Linked DNA regions of Arabidopsis thaliana. The protein of the gene in region 3 interacts with the protein of the main gene of each other region in a pairwise test. Each region holds a gene or a part of one and is shown on either strand. Other genes may lie near its edges.

Region 1 (7,572 bases), on a different chromosome or scaffold from region 3:
ATTCTAAGAATATGCTCTGACAAGCGATATTGGACTTTAAGTTGCAGTAGAGAATATTCAACTGAGTTCTTTAGTGTTGATTCAGTTAATTTACATTTTAGTTTCTTCTATGGTGGTGAAATGTTTTTTATCCTTGTTACATGTTGTGGTTGTCATTGCTTACATGTTACAGTCAGATGATGCTTGTTGTAATTCATGTGAGGAAGTTCGCGAAGCTTACCGAAAGAAAGGTTGGGCCCTCTCGGACCCTGAATCAATCGACCAGGTATACTGACGTTCCTTCACTAACAACAAAATTGGGTTGATCTTGGTACTTAGTTTGAAACAAATAGTGACACCTTGTTTGGCACTAAAATGGATATATCTAAAGAAACCATGGGTATCTGGTCTTTCGTTTCAGCTATCCCCACATCTAGTTGTATGATATTCTTACTCATCATTTCATTTCAGTGTAAAAGAGAAGGCTTTGTGCAAAAGGTAAAAGATGAAGAAGGTGAAGGTTGTAATGTTCACGGTTTCTTGGAAGTTAACAAAGTTGCTGGGAACTTTCATTTCATTCCTGGGCAAAGCTTTCATCAATCCGGTTTTCAATTTCATGATATGTTATTGTTCCAGCAAGGCAACTACAATGTAAGAAAAGTTTTATTTTTGTTTCATTCTCTCTTTATAAGCTCATATTTCAAATGGGTCTTGACTCTATTATATCATTACACAGATTAGCCACAAGGTCAACAGGTTGGCCTTTGGAGACTTTTTCCCCGGTGTAGTGAACCCTCTTGATGGGTAAAAACTCAATTATATAGCCATTACTCGCACCTGTTATCGCTTTTTCAATAATCCTATCTTCTGAAACATTCTCTTGGTTCTCTCAGTGTGCAGTGGAATCAGGGGAAACAGAGTGGCGTCTATCAATACTTCATCAAGGTTTGCTTCATTTGTACATTATATCTATAGACAATGCTCTCACCTGGGACAATAGTTTAGGTACAAAATTTTGAGATTCCTAAAAGGCTCATTATTAGCTCAGGTTACTGATAGAGAAGTACAAAGACATTAATACATTATGCTTGTTGACCAATGCAATAAGAATTTCTTTATCGGTAGCTTTTGCATGCTAGAAAGATTGTTGAGCGTAGGGATAAAGAATGGATTGTGGTGTTGAATTTCAGGTGGTACCAAGCATATACACCGATGTTCACCAGAATACAATACAGTCAAACCAGGTAAATCCCACATCCCCAAATCTCTATATAAAAATCTTTGTCATTTTCTTCTTGTAAAATCTAACCTATGAGTTTTTGTTTTTAACAGTTCTCTGTGACAGAACATTTCCAGAACATGGAAGCAGGTCGCATGCAATCTCCGCCTGGTGTTTTCTTCTACTATGATCTATCGCCAATTAAGGTCTGTTCGTTTTTTCTTTTTCTTTTTCCAAGTCGTGTTCTTAATACCAACGGAGACTATATCTCTAGAAACATTTTAACTTTTGATTGTTGGCTAGGTGATATTTGAGGAGCAACATGTGGAGTTCTTGCACTTCCTAACAAATGTTTGCGCTATAGTAGGAGGTAATCAATATATATATCCCTTCTCCATTCAATTTAAACATACCCTACTGATATGTTTATCATCAAATTCAAAACTAAAATTATACCTTTGATTTGCAGGTATCTTCACGGTATCGGGAATAGTAGATTCGTTCATATACCATGGACAACGAGCAATTAAGAAGAAAATGGAGATTGGTAAATTCAACTGAGTTGTTTGATATTCTCCACACTTTCTTGATCAGCTACTGGAGAATCATCTCTACGGGTTTTACAGTTAGACATTAGGTTTGAATTTGTGACAATGCGATGATTTAAAGAATTTTGTAGTACTGTAAGATATTCCAGGATCTGAACTTTGCCTTTCACTATTCACTATCTCTTCATAGGCAACATACAAAGTGTAAAATGTTGTTATCACCGATTGAAACGAATGTTAATTTTTCCTATTTAATTTGAGCTCATTTGTTTAAAGTGTAGTCTAAATCTGAAGATACCGATCTTGCTTTATGTTATTAAACTAAAGCCTTGTTTTTTTAAGTGTCTACGTTTGTTGATAATCAGAGAAAGTGGTTTCTTAGATTAGCTTAAAGCCATGGATTGAAATACACTAAAGTTGATTCAGGATGCTTCCTCATTTACAGTCTAAGCAACACTTCCAGAATTTAGTTATTACGAGAAGTGAGTTACATGTTTTGTAGATTTAGAAGGAGTTTTTGCAGTTTCATACCAATCAAGTTTTTATAGTTAAGGAATTTAGTTTCTTCTACTTTGATCGTTGTTCTTTTGTGCCAATTTAACTTGAACTAAGAAAATCAAGGAACTACAAAAATTACATAAGAAATCTCACACGGTCGAAGCATGCCAAAAAAAAACAGCTTGGACCGACGCAGAGATTAACACTAATTAACATCAAAGTAGATAAACTTATTTGATATTAACATAACAAACCCCCTTAATAATAATAAAATCTCTGCAATGACCAAAAACTCCATCGCAGAGAGCTCTAAAGTCCCTAAAATACCCCTATGGCAACATCTAATTTACAAGACTCGAACACTGAAGAATCGAATCCCAATCGATCTCGTACGACGGATACTTCTCCAACGCGTTCTCGTTCCACGGCGGCTGAATCTCCTCCTCCGTATCACCAAACGTCAGCTCCGACAACGGCGAAGAAGATCCACCAGATCCATAACTCTCCGTTAACAGCGGCGAAGATCCGGCGCTAGAGTAGTCCTCCTCCGGTAGTTTCACTGCGACGGTTGATGAACGTTTCCGAGAAGAAGACTTCTTCGTTGATCTCACCTGTTTCTGCGTCGTCTCAGCTAAGTTTTGACAAATAGCTTCAAGCTTAGCGTCGACTGATGATTGAAGAGGTTGATACTCGTCGTTATGACGGAGATCAGGGAAATTAAGCCGCGCAAAATCTCCTCGGAGCTTATACGCCGCCTTGTCATAAGCTAAAGCAGCTTCCTCCGCCGTGTCGAATGTTCCGAGCCAAAGTCGAGTTCGATTCCTCGGTAAACGAATCTCAGCCACCCATTTTCCCCAGTGACGTTGTCTCACTCCTCTGTATAGCTTCGTCGGTTTAGCCGCGGAAGTACCGGTTTGTTTCATTGAGACCGGTTTAGGACTAAGATGGTGAGAAAATGAGTGGAGATCCGACCCGTATGAAATTGGAGCGGGTAGAGAGAACGCAAACGCGGATGAATCGTTGGAAGGGCTTTTGATAAAAGGTAAAAGCGCTTCCATTAATTCACCACCGAATGGATCAGATTGTTGAAACGTTTTGTTACTGTAAAAATCCATAGAAGTTGTCATTTCTAATAAAAAGAAATTTTTTTCCCTTGTTCTTGTAAAAAAAGTAAAGAACAGGATTTTTTGTTTTCAAGAAAATCGAAAAAGAGGTTTATAAAATAAAAAACCTCTGTGTAGATTTCTGAGAGGAGGGAATTAAAAAAATACCCTCACAAACGATTAATTCTACAAAGAAAAAAAAACACAAGAAGATCAAAAATAAAAAAAGATTGATCTCTTTAAGAAAATACAAACCAAGAAATCAGTTTTCTTCTATACGAAAGACAGATTACTAACAGAAATGAATCAAAGTAGCGGGAAATAAACAGATCTAAGGGGGATGGATTTGTAAAGAATAAAAGTTAAGGAGAAAACCAGAAAGTATATCAACTTTTTTTTTTGGTTACACTCAAGTTTTTTTTTTTTTTTGTAAGTGAATAACTCTCAGCCTCACCGATACACTTATCTCATTAGCTTGGCTCTTGTTTATATAGGAGGCGTGGCGTGACTTCTTTTTTCCATCCTCCTCATATTTCTCAAATTTATATGTTTAATTAATTTTTTCTTTTGTTATTTTATGTACTATTTCAGATAAGATCATCCATGTTTACGTACTCCAAATAATATATATTCAATTTCAATCAAACATTGTTTGTAAGTTGAGTTTTAACAAGTTTTGTTTTAGAATGGTTAATTTTTACAAGTTAAAATGTTTCTACAAGTTTATTCTATAATCGAAGCGTTTTAATTTTACAATCATAGTTTGATGGAGAATCATTTCATTATATTACATTCACACCGGCTTTATGGGACGTTTCTTCCATAACCATATTAATCTTTTTTCTATTCAAATAGAAGTGAGTGGACGTACACAACTCCATAAATTTTAAAAGATTAGTTAAAAAAATGGTTGTCTACTCATTTAGCTAGACGTCTTTCTAAGCGGTTGAAACTAATGTACACGAGCACTTCGATTCCAGCCAAATTGATAAAATTGAAATCAACATATTTTTACGATTTATTTGGTAGAGGCGTCCAACAATTGGTCCACTAGTCCAGCTAGTAGATTTAGAATTCTTTTGTATATATGCGAAAACAAAACTTCTGAAAATTTTCAATAAAATGGAACTGAGAGAATATTAAGAATGAGATTATCCAAATTAATAGTATATATTGAAGTATATCAAACCGAAAAAGTATAAAAATAATTATTCGGAGGTTCCGAATGTGACACACGTAGACTTCATGATTGTTAAGCAATAATTTTGGCTCGCAATGTAATGATGATATCATGTTAATGAGTGGTTTAGACTTTTATTTAGATAATAAATCATACAAGATTAAAAAAGAAGGGTCTAGAGGGTTAGAATGAATGGCTGAGAACTCCTCAAATGTCAATTCCGTATTATATCATCCATTTAATTAGTTTATTAAACATTTCATCATCTTACGATATCTTATAGAGTTGCATCACTTAATTTATTGCTTCGTGTAATCGTGTACAAATGTCACTACAATCAATACGGCGTCAATTTGCAAGGTTAGACTATGGTGTCATCATTTTATAATGATCAATATTTTGAGGGAAGACGCGCATAAGGAGGTACCACCCATGTGGATGGCTCGTGTCCGTGTTACCAGTTCATCTTTACGATGCTGATTTATCTCGTTTACATGTATTATCATATGCATGTATATTTCGTACTTGCTTGCTTTGGTGAACATTGCATATGTGTAATAACTTGTCTAAGCGTTATTTTTCTTATACTTTGTTATGTATTTTTGATAAAAGTCAACTTTCAGTATTGATATCTACATTTAATGCAAAAACTGAATAAGAAAAAGACCAATTAGCTAGACCATAAATTAACCACTCATATAGCTACAAACCTATAAAACTATGGTTAAACAAATTGTAAAGAAAGAAAAAAAACTCTACGCATGAGAAAAGGGAAAAGCAAGAAAAACTCCAACGCATGATTTCATAACCGTAAGCCGAGCGTGTCCACAGGGGAAATGAAATAGTCAACTACAAAATCATTACTCAAGTCTTAGCTGTATGTAATAACTGACAGCTTTTTGCTGCCTATTTTTCTCCTTTTGAATTTTTCTTTTTATTCAAAATCATATATATATGAAAATTGGCCTACACTCTCCATATAAATGATACATCATCACACAAAAAAATGACATGTGTCATTCTATATTAATTAAATAAAAAAACTAGCAAAACTAATTGAGAAAAAATTAAAAGTCTTTTGTTGTGTTAATCTCACTCTTAAATGAATTTTCTAAAAAACATTCGATAAATAAAAAGTCATAATAATGTACCAAGCACTACTTTCATTTTATTCTACTTATTTTATTAAAAACATTTAATCAATAATCATTAATCTATAATGGCTAAAAATTTACTTGTGTTGTAGTTTAGATGTTTGCTACCTAACCTCATATTAATTTAGTAATTTTAGTTAAATATTTTATTATTATTATATTTTGTGAATTTGATTTATCATATGAACTTCTTTCGGTACATTTTGTGTGTTAAGATAATTTTGTAACATTGATATATAATTTTTTCACGTAATAGTCATCCTAGACATTAGACATACCAAAAAAACAACAACATGTGACTTTATATGATTATATGGTAGGGATAAGAATTAAAATGTTGACTTAAATTACTAGCATATCAGGATGTGATTGTGTACTAGATAACGAGATAATATATGGAATAAAGAATTGTTTGTTACAATTAAGTTAGACAAGTTTTAAAATACATAAGTAATATAACTACTTATATCAGTATATCATTTACTGTTATAGTATGTGATCATGATAGTGAAATATTAGAATAATAAATATATAAATATTCATATTGTAGTTGAATTGATATTTTGAGTTATAGATGAATCTAATCATAAAAAATAATAATTATATTAAATGGATGAATTTATCAAAATGAACATCTTTTTTTTTTGTCAAACAATCAAAATGAACATCAAAATCAACAAAAAACCATAATCATATTTTTCCGACAATTTTAAAAACAAAAATCGATGCGTAGCATGGGTGTTCATCTAGTTTATTTAAACAATAATACTTTATTAGTGTACTCTCAAGTTCTCTGACATTTTTTTTTTATTGGGGGCAAATGAAATGACTGACATTTTTGCATTGTTGTTCCTTAACTTGTCTATAAAAGTAGTTGTTTGATAGCTAGATTCACTGCATCTAAATCAAGTAATATAATAGTACATACATGTCATTTTTAGGATTTTTGAGAAATATTTGTAAATCGTAAAGAAAAAAGGTAGATCCGATTTGTGACTAATTTGGTCGAAAAGAAAAGAAAAGAAAAGAAGGTGGATCTGATTGGATTTTTGCTTTTGGTATGAACTTTTGCAATTTAATGCTCATAACGCGGTTTCCGTCAAACGCGTCCGTTTTATCTGTCGAAGTCAAACAACCGTTGCGAATCTGCCACGTGTTCACCCTCAAAGGTCCATTTTGTACTGTTTATCTGACTAGCTCACCTTAAAAGGCTTATTAAACTCCACGTGTCTTTTTGACCTCTTGACTTTGAATGATCTTACTAGTTTACAATTGTATTTTCTCACCTAATTTAATTAACACTAATACGTAAAATGAGAAATATACTCACCTAATTTTAATTTATATTAATGCATAAGATGAGAAATATAGTAGTAGTAGAACAAGTTGGTAAAATACAAATGCATGTGAAAATGCGTGTATTGGGTGAAGTGAAAGTAGAGAAAAATAGATTTGCTAATTTATTTTTCCTTTGGTGATATCGAAAGGAGGGTGTCGTTGTTTTTCGATCAGTTGCACGTTGTTCTACGAGGGAAAGAGGAATTGCATGTGGATTTTAGGTGAATTGTCTCCGTTAATTTTTGCATGACATATGGCCATTGCAGACTATTTATTATACAAAGCTTATGTGATTATGTCGTATGTTTTTGTACAAGATGGTAAGAAAAAAAGCTTCTCAAGGATGTATTTTGTTCTCATTAATGGACTTTTTACGTTGTATTACAAAAAAAACACCAATAAACAGAAACGATAAATCATACTCCATAGTATAGGACTCCTTCCGTAAACGTGCTTAAAATATACAAATTGTTATTTTCGTATTATTAAATATATTTTCTAAATTCGAAAATTTGAGAAAAAAATATATAGTTGTGTATCCATCTAAATACAT
Region 2 (7,191 bases), on a different chromosome or scaffold from region 3:
CGATTTGGGACGAAGTTATAGGCCCTGAATGGATGCTGATTTTGGATTCAGTTTTTGAATTTAGATTTTAGTTTATAGATTTTAGATTTTAGTTTCAGATTTTTATTATTATATTTTTGTTTCAAAAACCCCAAAAAATTGGTTTTTGGTTTTTGAGAAAAATAACGTTGATTGAGTAAAAACTAGATTTCCTAAATTTTAGGAGAACTAAAAAACTAAAATCATGAATGGAAAACTACAAGAAAATAATTTTTCTAAATTGTAGGGAAACCAAAATTTTAAAATCTTGATTGGTATGAAAATAAGTTTTTGGAAAACAAAAACCAAAAACTCTTACAAAATCTACAAAACATTCAATTCATGTATCCAAACTTCTTAAAGGGCCCAAAAAGGAAGAAAACATTGTGAAAGAAACAGATATAGAAATGGGCCTTTGGTCTTTAAATTGGGCCTAAGCCTTTTAATTGAGGCCTTACTAAAAGTGACGACTCACATGGTTGAATCAAATCTCAGGTAGTAAATTGTCAAAGCTGAGGAGAAAGAAAGCTTTTTCGGTCTGAAATTGAAGTGCGAATCGGGGAATCTAGGGTTTCGAGAGAGAGATAATGGGTGGAGGAGGACATGGCGGAGGTATAACTTACAAGGGAGTCACTGTCCACACTCCCAAGACTTGGCACACCGTCACCGGAAAAGGCTTGTGCGCCGTTATGTGGTACATTTCTGATTTCTCTCTTTCACCTAATTCGCTTTTGATTTTGGGACCTAGCTAATCTCGATCGTAGCTAGATCTCGCCATGGGGATTTTGGGCTAATTGATCATCTGAGGAATTTTGTATATAGAATCCATTTGAATCAAAAAATTGGATTTGTCAAATTAGTATCGGAGCTAATCAGGTAGATGTTAATTTGAATCAGATATTGCTTATGTCAATTTCAGTTCGATGAGAATGGTTGAAGAAGTAATCGCACATAGGTTTTAACTTTCCCTAGCATTCACATCTTAAAAACTCAATTTTTGGTATTTTCAGGTTCTGGATTCTGTACAGGGCAAAGCAAGATGGTCCTGTAGTTATGGTAAAACTCTTTCATTTTTTATCTTTGTCTCGCTTTTGTAAATTTTATTGGTCCTAATATCTTTCGTGGTGGCTGAATCTGATCTTGCTATTGGCAATGGATAGGGATGGAGGCACCCTTGGGATGGTCATGGTGATCACGGTCACGGAGATCATCACTAGGTAATGTCTTTACTAGTAGTATTGTCGATGGAATCATTAAGAAAGATGATTAAAAAATCTCCTTTTTCGTAGTAAACACGCATTATTGTTTATACCGTATAGCAATTCCTCAATGAAGCTAATGTCTATGCATAATGTAGAGTAGCATTTCTAAGTTGTCACTTACTAACAAGATCTCTTGTTAACTGCTATCTAGTTGGTTTTGAAGAAAGATGATAGCTTTGATCTGGTTTTGGTTCATACAAGTGGTGAAAGTTTAGAGGATCTTTAACTTCTCTATAGGATGTTCTTGATTTATATCTACTAGAATGAATCATTGAAACTCTCGGGAGTGAATGAAAATTGAGTGCCTTTATTGTGAATGTTTGTTATTAGTTTAGTGGTACATGTTTTGAGTTTTCTCTTTGTTTAGACATTGATGATTTGTAGTTATCCTCGAGTTCACCTTTCATGTAACCATATAAGCATTGCTCAAACTACTTGACACTAATCTGGTTTTGGGTTTTGCTGCTAGGTCTCACTGAACCTTTGAAGATCATGACGAAAAAAGGATCGTCTCTTGTTTTTTTCTTAATTTTCAGCTTCATATGTCGAAATAAAGAGAACTGTGAAGAAGACGTGAATTGTTTTTGTACACAACTTTGTAAGACTTGCTGCTTCTGTTTTAAGTTACTACTTGTGTGTTGCACTTCCTGATCATGTTGTTATTTTGCTGTCAACAAATTAATTTGAAATAAAACGCATTGCGAGATTCGTGTTTTTAGATCCAGCCTCCAATGATACGAATTACAAAGAAACACTAGAAATTAGTTATATTCGCTGTGTTAAGTATACAAATTAACACTTACGAAACTGAATTTGTTAATGGTTTTTATAACTATATCTGAAAACCAAAAAAAATATGCAAAATCATCAAATTGAAAATGTCTATTCTAGCAACATGAATTGTGAATAAATAAACAAACATCTATAATTCAAATTTTACTTGAATAACAATTTCATTTTGACTCTATTTTTGGTGAAGACAAAAAGTGTGCCTTCAACTTCAAGTCTTTAATCCAAGTAGCCAGTTTAGGAAACGGGTAAAAAAATAAATTATATAGAATAAAAGAATTTGATGTTGCAAACTTGAAAATAAGTTTACAAATCAATCTATTTAATGTTAACTAAACATGTCCGCTTGAAGCAAAACCTAACCGATCCGGACATATCATATATTATCTAGTTGGTGAGAATATTAAGAAGTGAAACTCTCGTCTGAATCAATCGCCGGAAAATAGATTCCAACTCTATTTCAAGCTCCACTACAGTAATCTCCGCCGCCTCCAACCTCGTAGTCGCGCTTTGCACCGCAGTCTCGTCCCATTCATCATCTAACAAATAGGAAGACCGAATGGAAAAGATCGAAGACAAAGACCCTTTGCTCGATCTCTTCTCTAGCCAAGGAATACAACCAAGTGAGAACAAAGACTCAACCATCGTCACAACGACTCTTCTCACTTCCTTCAAAACTTCTGTGACAAACAGAAGGTTCTGTTCTATTGGCATGGCCACTCTTCCTTCGTTTCCTTTCATGTTCTTCAAACAGTTTAAGCATTTCAGTGTCTCCTTCTTGAGCTTGTTCTTATACCGATTATACGCAGCTATCTTCTCGTTGACATCAGATGATTCGTTGCCACGTAGAGTCAGTTGTAGATCTTGCAAGCTGTGTTTCACGAGCGTCATCACATCTTTGGATACGTTACAGATGTCTAACATCCTCAATGAAGCTTCTGAAACTTGTTCCGTCCATTTCTCTTGTCCTTGTTGAGACAGAGATTCTCTTGTTTTCGGACAGTGATGGAGGAGATAGTTTACGCAGTCGTGTAGCTCTCTCAAACCCTCAAAGTTAATCTGAGCCATAGATAGATCTTAATCTATTCGAGATACTTAGCTTTATGAATGTAAAAAAAGAATTTGAAAAGGTATTTTTTGATGTAATTGTGAATGGTTTTTAGGGCTTCTTGAGAGTTTTAAGCGAAGATTAGAGATATATTGAATGTGTGTAAGAATGAGATTATATATAGAGGTTAAGAAGGATCTGAGGGAAAGTACGATGAAGGTTCCCAAGTTTGGGTTTTTGTACGGACGTGGGACATCCGGGGAACAGCTCATTTTGGAGGTATTATCAAAACAATGATTTAAATGATTCAAAACATGTCACAAGGAACCTTCTTTGTACGTAAGAGGCACTCGTGGATTAGGGTACATTGTGGATTCGTTTAGATTTTCAATTTATAATATATAGTTTTAAAGATTTTTATTCTAATATATAGTCTTAAGGTTTAATTATATACTATATACCATGCATGCACGAGCGACGGTGCCAGGCTGTGTTGGTAAATTGCAACAATTTGGAACAGACGGACGAATATTAAATGAGATGAGAAATGTTTAGATTTTGGATCAGACTTTAAATATTATGTTAAGGGTTTGTCAGATATGTTTTATGTATCAAGTTAAATGGATATATTAATTACCAACAAGAAAGTAATATAAGTCTTACAGTAACAGAAAACAAATAATGGTAACTACTTGATCAATATGAATATATGATCAATAATCATTTTAAAACCGGAACTTATCTTTGGCAATACATGCGATTGTGACATTGTGTTACGTGTTAACCTCTCAATATATGTTTCTGGACAAGCGAAATATTCACAGTTTCACACAAATACCAATATACCTTTTCTATAACGTGGACAGTAATAATACGCATACATTAATACATATATGTTTATATGTCTAATTTCTCTATCAATCAGGTAACCACCTCGACGGCTCGACGCATGAATACATCCTGGATTAGATTTTATGTTTAAGATCTTTATATCTCAGGTTATTTTCAACAAATTAATATCTTCCCACAAATTATATAATTAGATTCATATCCCTCCAACTCCAAATGCTGAAATGCTTTCATTTTTATTATGTTGTTAGTGCAGCAATCTTATTATTCGATTTCCCGTTTGGAAGGTATAGCTACTAATTATAACGAATAATCAACCATGCATTATATTTTCTCTGTTGTCATCATCATGTAGAGACATTATTGCGTGATTAAAAAAAGAGAAATAAGAAGACATTATTGCGTGATTATAAAAACACACAGAGAAAATAAGACATTATTGCGTAATTTCTTTAGCTATTTTTTTTGCAAACAACCCATCAAACATAAAATAAAGCCCATGAAACTCAATTAATAAGCCCATTATCTCAAATTCATCCTTACTCTGTTTTGCAACAACTTCTGATAAGAAAACTGATACACTCATCAGTCTCATGATTGTATAACTATAAACTTATGAAATATTCATAGAGTACTGAAGTGATCTGCTGATAATTGTTATCTCGAACTCGTATTCTTGACAAGTAATCGTTTGAATATGATTTAAGAACGCTGCACACAAAGTTTTACAAGTTCTAAAGATCAATATGATCTGAGAGACTTTGCCTAAACTAAAGCCAACAATACTTCACAATGAACAAAATTACATCTATACAATCTCAAAGAGTAAGCATGTTAAGAAAAGAAACTCTTGTCTTCAACAGTTTCTTATACACACACTCCAACTCTTTCTCTGTTTCTTCAATCTCATGTTCTGTTTCTCTCAACTTCTTCAGCTCATCCACATCAACTTCTTGATTCTTCTTATTAAAAATCCTCGACACAATTCCTCTCCTTGATCCTTTCTTTTGATCTCTCTGATCCTTCGTCACTACCTCAATCAACAAAGAAACCAAAACATCAAAGCTGGTCTTTTCAACTCTTTTCATTACATTAATGACATCTCCACAATCTCTCTTCCTCTTCCTCATCTTCTCCTCTGTTTTCTTCAATTGTTTGACGATGGTTCTGCTCAGTGCTCTTCTCTTAAACACGTACGCGTCTGTCTCACGCGCCACGAAAGCTTCTTGATCTTCTCCTGACTTGCTTCTGATCAATCTCCTCCTCAAGCTTGATTCGAGTTCCCTGACTTGTTCCTTTATCTCCATCAGAACGTCTCTGATCGTGCTGCAGATATCAAGAACCTCGATGAATCCGTCAGAAACATCTTCAAATCCTGTGAAAGACTTTTGAGTTTTAGTCGTTTGAAAACGGAGGAAAACTTCGACAACCTCGTACAGATTCTTTAAAACTCCAAGTTTCCGACGAGCGGACTCTGGTCTTTTCTTTAGTAACAGAAGATGATCTTCGATGGCTCGAGACAGAGGATTAACGTCTTCGGACCAGCTTGTTGAACGCACGTGTGCACCAGATGATGAAGTACAAGCCATGGCTGATTCACTCTATAGAGATAATAATGTATAGTCAACGAATGAAAAGGTTTAGCTTCTCATTAAAACGTACTCTCACCAATATATATGTATGTGTCTCTATGTACATGCATGATTAAGTTTGAATATACATATACTTGCACGTAGAGGTAAGTCAATAGGTCGACGAATATAGATACAGGCTGGAATTGGCTGTTGCAATTAAGTTTCTTCCGACAGTCTAACGACAAATCTACACTCTTCTCCTTCATGATAAATTTTCCCTCTTTTTTTTTTTGGCTTGGCATTAAATATTCATATATGGCTGAAACAACCAATTAATCACATAGGTGAACATGCTGCTTAGCAAATGATTTTCATGCAAGATCATCATGGACAATAACATTCACACGGATAATTTCTTCTTGATTATTTTGTACATTTTATTTAGGTAAATATGTGAAGTCTCTCCTGAATATCTTTTTTTTGTATTACCTTGATTTAACAACATGATGAGCAGTAATTCTTCTCTAGGTATCAATGTAATAGTTAAACAGAAAAAGACCAAATATTGAGGGGGGATCGATAAAAACCTGAAATGATCTTACTTCCAAATTTCAGTTGCTTATACTGATTGCATGTGCGGCAACCTTGGATGGGCTGCGGAAATACGAAACCAACAAGAAACAATAACCGTTGGCTGCGAAGTCGCTCTCGTAATCTCTGCAACGTTTATTATAATACCATTGGAGATTTCACAGATTAAGAAATGTCCAAATACCATTTGTATACGATATACACGCATACATGTAATATAATAGTTTTCCAATTAGGGGAAAGCTGGGAATGTGCACGAATGGGAATACTTCTTAAACTAAACCATCAACCAAGTTGGTTTCGTGACAACCTGGATGTGTTTTTATAAACGTCATGGTAGATCATAACATTCCATATACATCTATTGCTATTGTATAACTTACAAAAAAAAATAGAGCCTATTTAAACCAAAATAATAATAATCTATTTATTAACTAGGTGTTATCCACGCTTACATTTATCTAAAATTTGTAATTTAAAAAACAAATAATAAAATAAGACCAGAATATGCAATACTAATGATGTGGTTTCATGCTGAGTTAATTAGTGTGTTAATATATCAAATTTAAAATTTATTGTTCTTGAAAACTAAACTAATTATTGTATAGTTGAAACAAACTACAATTCATAGATCATTCTTGCTATCGTTATTATCACATAATATTAATGGATCGGAAGAGATTGTTTTAAAACGATCAAAGTATATGAATTGCTATTATTATTTATTTTGACCTATAGGGAAAATTATACATATACACAACAGACCTAATACAAGGAAAAAGGAAATCTAAAAAAGGAACACTTGTACAACAAATTATATACAAATATGAGTAAATAGAGATATTCATGATAAGAATGTGAGACTACAAGATAAGTAGATAACCAATACTACAAGGAAAAGGAAATCTACAAAAAGGAAACTCTTGTACGACAAAAAATTATACAGATTACGAGTTAACAGAGATATTCATGATAGGATATGAAATATACATACCCGAATAGATCACAGGCTAAGGCTAAATCCGATCGAGGGATGAGAAAACAATACAGAGACAGTTAG
Region 3 (8,151 bases):
TTTTATTTATTGATTAACGAAATACAAGATCGGTAGCGGTAAACCAACAAAAAACAGAAATGCTAAAGAAAGAAAAAATAATGCTGCGCTCTCTAGCATTCTGTGTTAGCAAATTCGCCCTTGACGTTGCTAAGAAGTTTGTTCAGCATTTCATGTGGTTGATTATAATGTTATTAATGTCCATTTTTGCCATAATAATTGATCGAAAATTCATCTTTTTTTATATTATAAATCATAGTAACGTACTACATTTGAATGCAGGGTAGAAGTAGAATTTCTTTTCTTTGTATTTCATTTGTTTTGTTAGTAATTTGCTGTGGCATAGCTGTTCTCTTACACAGATGGTATAAGAACAGCTATACCACAGCAATTGGTCATACTATATATTAATATGCAAGTAAGTATGTATGGTAAAAGAATTAAAAAACGAATTTATGGTTATGAATAAGTATTGACCAATGACCATTTCTTGTAATTATAAATAGACTTAATATGTACATGCCTGCAAATTGATAAGCAAGAAAAAACAATAGTAAATATAACAAGATTTAGTTAAAGGATTTGAAAGTGTGTAAGAAATTGAATTGTATGAAGATGGAATCCTCAAAAATGTTGGTTGTATTCACCCTCATGGTTCTCATCGCAGTCTCCTCCGATCTAGTCTCCGGTATCTAAAAGCTCATTTAAAATTTTCAGCATTATTTACCAAAATACCTCTTCAAGTTTTTAAAAGTATTTTTAAAACAGAAAAGTATTCTTTAAATTATTATTATTGTAACATTTGTGGTTTTATTTTAGGAGTGGGTTTTACTTATTTGTGTGTCTTAAATACATTTTGTCAATGAATTTGATTTCCGAATAGGTAATTTTGCATCCGGGGAGGCTTCGAGTCAACTGTGCTTCAATCCTTGCACTCCTCAACTTGGCAATAACGAGTGCAATACGATTTGTATGAACAAGAAATACAAAGAAGGTTCTTGTGTTGGTTTTGGAATTCCCCCTACTTCCAAATATTGTTGCTGTAAAACTTAAATAGTTATTAATTAGAGTTTGAACGATAATAATATTGATATGTTTTTTACTAGTTGAATAATAATATAAGATTTGATCTAATGAGATTAGCACATTTTATTGATTATGTATTTATGTTGATATATTTTGAATCTGATAACACGCTTCTAGCGATAGGAAGTGGATCTCGATGACCTTGGCACGGCTCGCGAGTCCGGTCAATTTAGAAGTGATTTGCGTTTCTATGAAGTTTGGGATGTTATAACAAGTTGCTTCATGGTTCATGCAATTTGTTTTTGTTTTTCATGCAATTTGTTAGTTTTATCTTAGTTTACTTTGTTTTGTATCTTTGGTGTGTAACAAGTTACTCCTCGTAGATTCGATTACAATCGTGCTACAAAGGCATTTCATCATGCATATGCGATATAACGTAGCTGATTGGCTTTGCGAATTTGAGAAACTTAAGGCCCAGCTCAGTTTAAACCTGTTGTAAGAAACAAAATTGTTGTGTTTGAGATTTATTATCTAGTCTTGTCATTTGGATCGACAAACGCAGACCCATATCCAAATTCTATTATATATAATAACACAACTTGTTGAAGTCAAACTTAGGATAGAAAGAAATCAAGATTTTTTTATCTTCCTTTGAAATGTGGGCAGGTTACTACATTGCCAAAGACTACACAATAATGGTCAATTGGCTTGTATAGTTAAAAAAAAAACGAAAATAATGGAAATAACTATGAGTTAATAGTTAATTAGTTATGACTCGTATGGCCAAACGACCATGTCATGTAACTACAAATAGACTTAATAGCGTGCAGAGAGATTTGTGTGATGAAGAAATACAAAGGAGGTTCTTGTGTTCCCTATGGAATTCTCTTTGTTTTCCAAAATTGTTGTTGTAAAAACTAACTAATTATTACTTATAAATTCTCTCCCCAGTAATATACACATTTTTTCTCATACAATATCTATAAGTACAAGTATATAATTTATTTATTTCATATCATTGCATGATTTTATTGTATTTTTATGGCCGCAAGGTTCAATGAATGGTTAGGCGTATGTATTTTTTTTTCCAATAATCCAAGAGACTAGAATGGACCACATATTTATAAAATACTATGATGTGTATGTCTCTATACACATACATAAGTGTCATTCAGTCAATTACAGAATTTCAAAGTAGCATCTAGCTACTACTTAATTTATGTTATAGTTGATAGTAGCTATTTTTGATATATCTCATCTCACTGTATGAACAGTTTTATAACTTGGGTTTGGTGTTTCGAACAACGTTGACTATATATTTTCTATTTTAATCTTTCATACACATTTTCTCATAGTGGATAACTATTTAAATCTTCCTTTTAGGTGTATTACTATTTATTTGTGCTGATTTCAAACCAATCATAAGGGAAAACAAGTCGATTATTTCTTTTTTCTTGTATTATGAAATTGAAAACTCCCCTTTATGAGTCTATGACCAATTAAATATAATCACTATTGTCTCCTGCTCCACCAAATGTGTTCTTAATCATCAAAATCAAGATGGTGCAAATAGAATAATAAAACTATAACACCAGAAAATTTTCGTACAAGTTGAAGACCTTTTAGGTATAACGAATGGAAAGTTCTTCGAATTGGAAAATAAGAACAATTAGTGGAAGAAAATGCACAAGAAATCCAAGATTAAGAATACACTTAACTCTTAAAATACTAAGTATGTACGTAACACACTTATCAACCATCTTATGACCTTTTGAGAGTCGACTAATGTAAAGTTCTTCGAAGCAGAAAAAACAATTAGTAGAAGAACAAAGTCAAGATAAAGGTACACTAGCTGTTATCCTCTTAGGTTTTATAACTTTTTTAAGTGTAAACAAATAGAAACCTTTTCGGATCAAAAAAAGTAGAACAAAAAAAAAAAAAAGAGTCAACATAATAATAGACTAAGCTCTTATATTACAAAGTATGTAACACAATTACAAACCCCCATTAAAAAAAAGTAAAAATAAAACAAATAAGATCAAGAAGCAAAATAAATAAGACATTATGATAGATTCAAAGCATTATTATTATGATCATGATGATGATGAAACATCAACATGTCGCTACCAAAACTCTCTCTATCATCTTCGCTTCCACCATTGACATAAAAAGTCGAAGACGAATTCAACGGTGTCGAGCTGCTCGATGAAGTTCCCGCTAGCATTGATGAACTGAAATTCCATCCGGCCTTAAAATTCTCACCATCATTAATGTGGTCGGATACAAATGCGGCTGATGAGTAGTTTCCGGCTTGAGGGACTTTGTTATTAGATGGATCACCTGTACCGGTATAACTGTGATAATCTCCCAAGTATTCTCCATTGTTTTGCCATTGAACGGGTGGTGTTGAGTTGAGCAAACCGGTGAAAGTGGTTTGGTCAGTGTTTAGGTCGTTTTGAAGCTGTTGGTTTGGTTGGTATGATTCGGTCTGAACGTTGTTGAGAGAGGCAGTGAGATGATTCAAGATATCAGGATTAATATTTGAAGTAGTGAGATCAAATGGAGTATTCATCGGTTGTGACATAGATTTAAACAATGATGAGGTAAGAAACGAAGAGAGCTGGAGAAGATTAATGCGGGGACAATGAGTCACCGGATCAATCCCCATTCGTAAGAGTTTCTTTTTAATATGTGTGTTCCAATAGTTTTTGATTTCATTATCTGTTCTTCCTGGTAAGTGAATAGCAATTGCGGACCATCTATAGAAGAAAAAATATCGTGTTATAGATTTTAAGTTAAAATCAAAAAGAGAAGTATAAGTTTTAACTTGTTAAGATATTAGCTGCAGCGAGTTGAAGATTGCATGCTTAGCTTTAGACATTTGACCTTGGTATAGTGCTTAACTATGTTCTTGTCTTTTAGTTGAATAAAATAAAATATGCAAGTAATATTATAACAAAAATGTAAAGACATGGAAGTCCAATGAAGTAGGTGTAGTAGTGGAAAACTAGGTCATTTTTTACTTAATTTAATCATACATGTAAACAATTATACACTAAATGAAGAAATGAAAAATTGCAGATAGACTAACTTGTTTCCAAGAAGACGATGAAGTTGAATGATGGTTTCTTCCTCTTGAAGAGAGAACTCTCCTCTCTTGATATCGGGTCTTAGATAATTCGTCCATCGCAATCTACAACTCTTCCCGCATCTTTTTAACCCTTTTAAGATTCACACCAAGAAAAACGAATAAGAACCATGATTGTTTTAATTTTAATTCTAACGTTGACATGATCTAGCATGATAATCATTATTAGTAAATTTTAAACATAAACGTAAAACAAAACGCAGGAAAACATATTGTAGCTGATAGGATTTAGCTATTTGTATATATACATGCGTTAGGGTAGGAATTTACCGGCGTTCTTGGGAAGGGTACGCCATTTGCCGGGACCGTGCGTTTGAATATAGCCTACGAGCTTCTCGTCTTCCTCCGGAGTCCATGGCCCTTTCTTCACTTCACTTTCCTCCGAGCTTGAAGATTTTCCCATCTTTTTCAAATGTTATATGTGAGAGAACTAGAGAGAGAAGCTAATAAGCTTTGAGAACTTGATTACAGAGAAAATTTGGTTTCTTCATGAATTATGATTTATGTATATACAAATATATATATGGTACATGCAAAGTCAAGTCAAGGAGATTTGGTACCGCCCTTCCATCATCTATCTAAATACGTGTCTTTTCTTGATGAAATACGGAGACAAAATGAAGTAGAAAAAAACTGCTTATTATGTTGACAAAACAAAAGAGTAATTTTTACTCTCTATCTTTAAAGTCCTTACTAACAAACAAAAAGCTCTGACCAAAGAAAAAAAGTAATAAACAAAAAGCATGAGACTAAACCATCTCTATTAACCCTAAAAATAATTAATATTGATGGAGTGAGAACACATGGCAGAATATGGGTGGTGTATGAGGACGTGTGATAGATATGTGAAGAAGGTTCCATTTGTTTTGGTCTCTTTGTCTCAAATCATCAAACAGTTTTCAAGATAGCTATGTTGCGTGTATGTTTAATGTTTACTCATCTGTCATCACTATAGCAATATCATATACATAAATAGACAGATTCAAAATAAGAATTTTATTGAATAAGGTGTGGTTACAGTGATTATACTGAATAAATATGCTTATTTAGCCTTCTAAGTTTTGTATACAAATAATTTCTCTTCTAAGGAGAAAATAAAAAGGAAATATGTAAAGAATGATTACGATAGTGTAAAAAAGTAAAAACAATAAAAATCCAAACGGATCTCCAGTGTGCTTCATCGGTTGGAAATAGATATATATCATCGTGTCATCAAATTTCAGTAGCAAAGCTAGATTGTCCTGCTTGAATTAAGACATCCGATCGAAGTGACTCAGTTTGAGTAACGTCCTGCATCGCACCAGAGTTTCTGTTTACTTCAATAACAATTACATAACGACAAGTTTGAATAACTGATAATCTAAGACATGTATTTTGTTTTTACTAAGTTAGGTAAATTAACGACAAAGCGTTGTTGCAGTGCAACATACGTAAAGAACAAGGCATGTTAACGGTCAAAATACATGTGTGATTAATGAAACAATACTATATAATATACATGTGTCATTGAATTGCAGAGACTTTGGTCTCAGTCCGAAACATGGTTGATTTGACAAGTCAGGGATTTGAAATTTTTTGATTTGATATTTGTAAGAAATTATTACTATTTTAGTTAAATTTGGTTAGTATAAGTTTTAGATTATTTGGAAAACAAGTTATCGGCCGGTTTAAGAGTGATTATATAGAAAGGTTTGGTATTAGAGAAGAATGATAAAGTGACTTTTTAAATTAGGAGAATGACCAATTTATCATTGTTTAGTGCATAGGCGTATTTGACAAGTAACCCCTTGCTCTTGTTACATGTTAAATATTATTGTGTCATATAAAGAGGTAAAATTAATTCTACACTTTATGCGGTATAGCCGTATAAAACATGTTAGGTTGATAATAAACAAGTTATCATAACGTTTTCAACAAGTGCCAAAAATATAAACTTACACTAACACTAAACCGTATATATCGTTTTTTTTAATATAATATTATTTCTATAACATCGATATATCTAGTAAATAGTTATTTTGCGTCCATATAATTCATATTTTTCGTTATATAACAATGAAATGAGTGTTTTTCCACGGTATAGAATATTTTACATGTAAACTTTAAATCATATCATTGTCTCACAGGGAATTGATTCATGAAGGTAAATTTTGTGATGCATGTTTTAAAAATAAAAGACTGCTTTATCAAAAAAAAAAGTAGACCCTTTAACAAAGAAAAAAAGATCCTGCCAAAAATGAATAATGATAATTAGTTATTAAGACGACAAGAAAATTCAGATAATGTGGTCAAATATTTAATTTCTCAACTAAAAGGAAATACAATACATTGTTATTGGTAGATTATGTTATTGCCTGGTTTATCTACAACAATCCCAACAACCCAATCGTCTTAGTAACATTAAAATAATCGCTGTCACAGGAAATTTTGATGAACTCAAGCCTCGTTTCAGATTTATCAGTTTTCTTATAACTTTGCATCTACCAATTATGCAAGTCTTTTCATAAACTAATCTATCGATTATGTAAGTCTTTTCATAAACTAATCTATCGATTATGCAAGTCTTTTCATAAACTAATCTATCGATTATTTAAGTCTTCCGCATGTAAATTCGTTAATCAGCTACCATCTTCATTTTAGTTTGGTATAAGAAGTTATTTATACTGTATGATCTAAATTACATTTAAATATTAAGGGTTATTTTTTCTTTTTTCCGAATGAAGTTCTATTATTGTTTAAGACTTTCACGCCTCTAAGGCCGATGGCCGACCATAGAGACAAAGACATGGACTGAAACTAATGATCGAAATCACCTTGCTCATTTATCTTTCCAATTTCTTTTATATAAACAAATTATAAACAAACACACACAAAATAAACAGACGTAACTTAACCTTTAATTCTTATTTTTAAGAAACAATGACGTAACGATTTAGCAAAAAACACCTAACCTTAGATTTCATGGTGTATAATATATCCACGACGCCTTGAACACGTACAAGTGTGGTAGCAAGCACTAGCAACATAGTAAACTAAAAAAAAATTGCCAGCAGCATAGTAAACTAATTATTCTCTTGGATTTTTCTCATATTCGGATATATAGCATATTTTTTAACTTATCTTAAAATCAAAGTTAGGATTAATTAAAAAAAAAAAATCAGTAACATCATCTTTATTTTAGTTTAACCTCATAATACGAATACCTTAGCAAAAACTATTAGTAGTTATAAATGTCCCAAAACAATTTTGTCATAAATGTCCAATTATGTGTACTGGTTTTTTGACTCTTTAAAAAAAAAAAAATTGTTGTCTTTTGATTTCTGCCCCTTTATTGATGTTATATCCTATGCTTATTTTTTTTTTTTTTTTTATTTTTTTTTTATTTTTTTTTTTTTTGTCACAAATCCTATGCTTTGTTTTCTTTATCTTTCTTGGCATATATTCAACAAACAAACAAAATAGTCTAGAGACTATAGACTATAGACCACAGACTATAGAGAGACACCATATCCAAATTAATTGAACGAGTCATCTATATATACATTTTTGCAGCCATTTTAGCAAATAAATCCTAGACTTTGATTTATTTACAATCTAATGCCATTAGCATTAAATCTTTTTTCTAAAATAATTAATTTTACTTTAAATTTTTGATTTAAATTGTCAATCACATTATCAATCAAATTTAATCCCACCAAACTTCAAATCAATCCCTTAAAATTAGCATAAACATATTTGTTAACAATATTTTAAAACAAAATTTTTTGTTAAATAAATATTATTCTTACTTAACGTTTTTTGTTTAAATAAATAAATTTTGTATTTGAACTTATTTACAATGTCATGTCACTGACATTAATTAATTATTAATGAAAATATTTAATTAAAGATTTAAATCTTTTAAATCCTTGCTTTTAGAGTTATTATGTCATTACCTTATAAGCAAAAATATTAACTTTTTAAATATTATTATTTATATATTTAAAATTGATAAAACA

Evidence for each region.
Region 1: the proteins of MYB49 (region 3) and AT1G22190 interact in a two-hybrid assay, tested with the Arabidopsis thaliana proteins (one large-scale study listed by BioGRID).
Region 2: the proteins of MYB49 (region 3) and AT1G76210 interact in a two-hybrid assay, tested with the Arabidopsis thaliana proteins (one large-scale study listed by BioGRID).

Annotation. Positions count from the first base shown.
Region 1 is NC_003070.9:7,832,044-7,839,615, reverse strand, and holds AT1G22190 (Integrase-type DNA-binding superfamily protein), read right to left. Parts: upstream 3,836-7,572; 5' UTR 3,372-3,835; coding exon 2,586-3,371; 3' UTR 2,205-2,585; downstream 1-2,204. Other genes in the region: AT1G22200 (Endoplasmic reticulum vesicle transporter protein), read left to right, coding at 173-265, 451-630, 716-783, 873-924, 1,170-1,223, 1,312-1,404, 1,502-1,568, 1,668-1,759.
Region 2 is NC_003070.9:28,592,746-28,599,936, forward strand, and holds AT1G76210 (DUF241 domain protein, putative (DUF241)), read right to left. Parts: upstream 3,252-7,191; 5' UTR 3,138-3,251; coding exon 2,457-3,137; 3' UTR 2,205-2,456; downstream 1-2,204. Other genes in the region: AT1G76200 (NADH dehydrogenase ubiquinone 1 beta subcomplex subunit), read left to right, coding at 606-712, 1,029-1,074, 1,179-1,235; AT1G76220 (hypothetical protein (DUF241)), read right to left, coding at 4,785-5,555.
Region 3 is NC_003076.8:22,013,290-22,021,440, forward strand, and holds MYB49 (myb domain protein 49), read right to left. Parts: upstream 4,773-8,151; 5' UTR 4,557-4,772; coding exon 4,424-4,556; intron 4,227-4,423; coding exon 4,097-4,226; intron 3,765-4,096; coding exon 3,068-3,764; 3' UTR 2,854-3,067; downstream 1-2,853. Other genes in the region: LCR83 (low-molecular-weight cysteine-rich 83), read left to right, coding at 589-667, 863-1,032.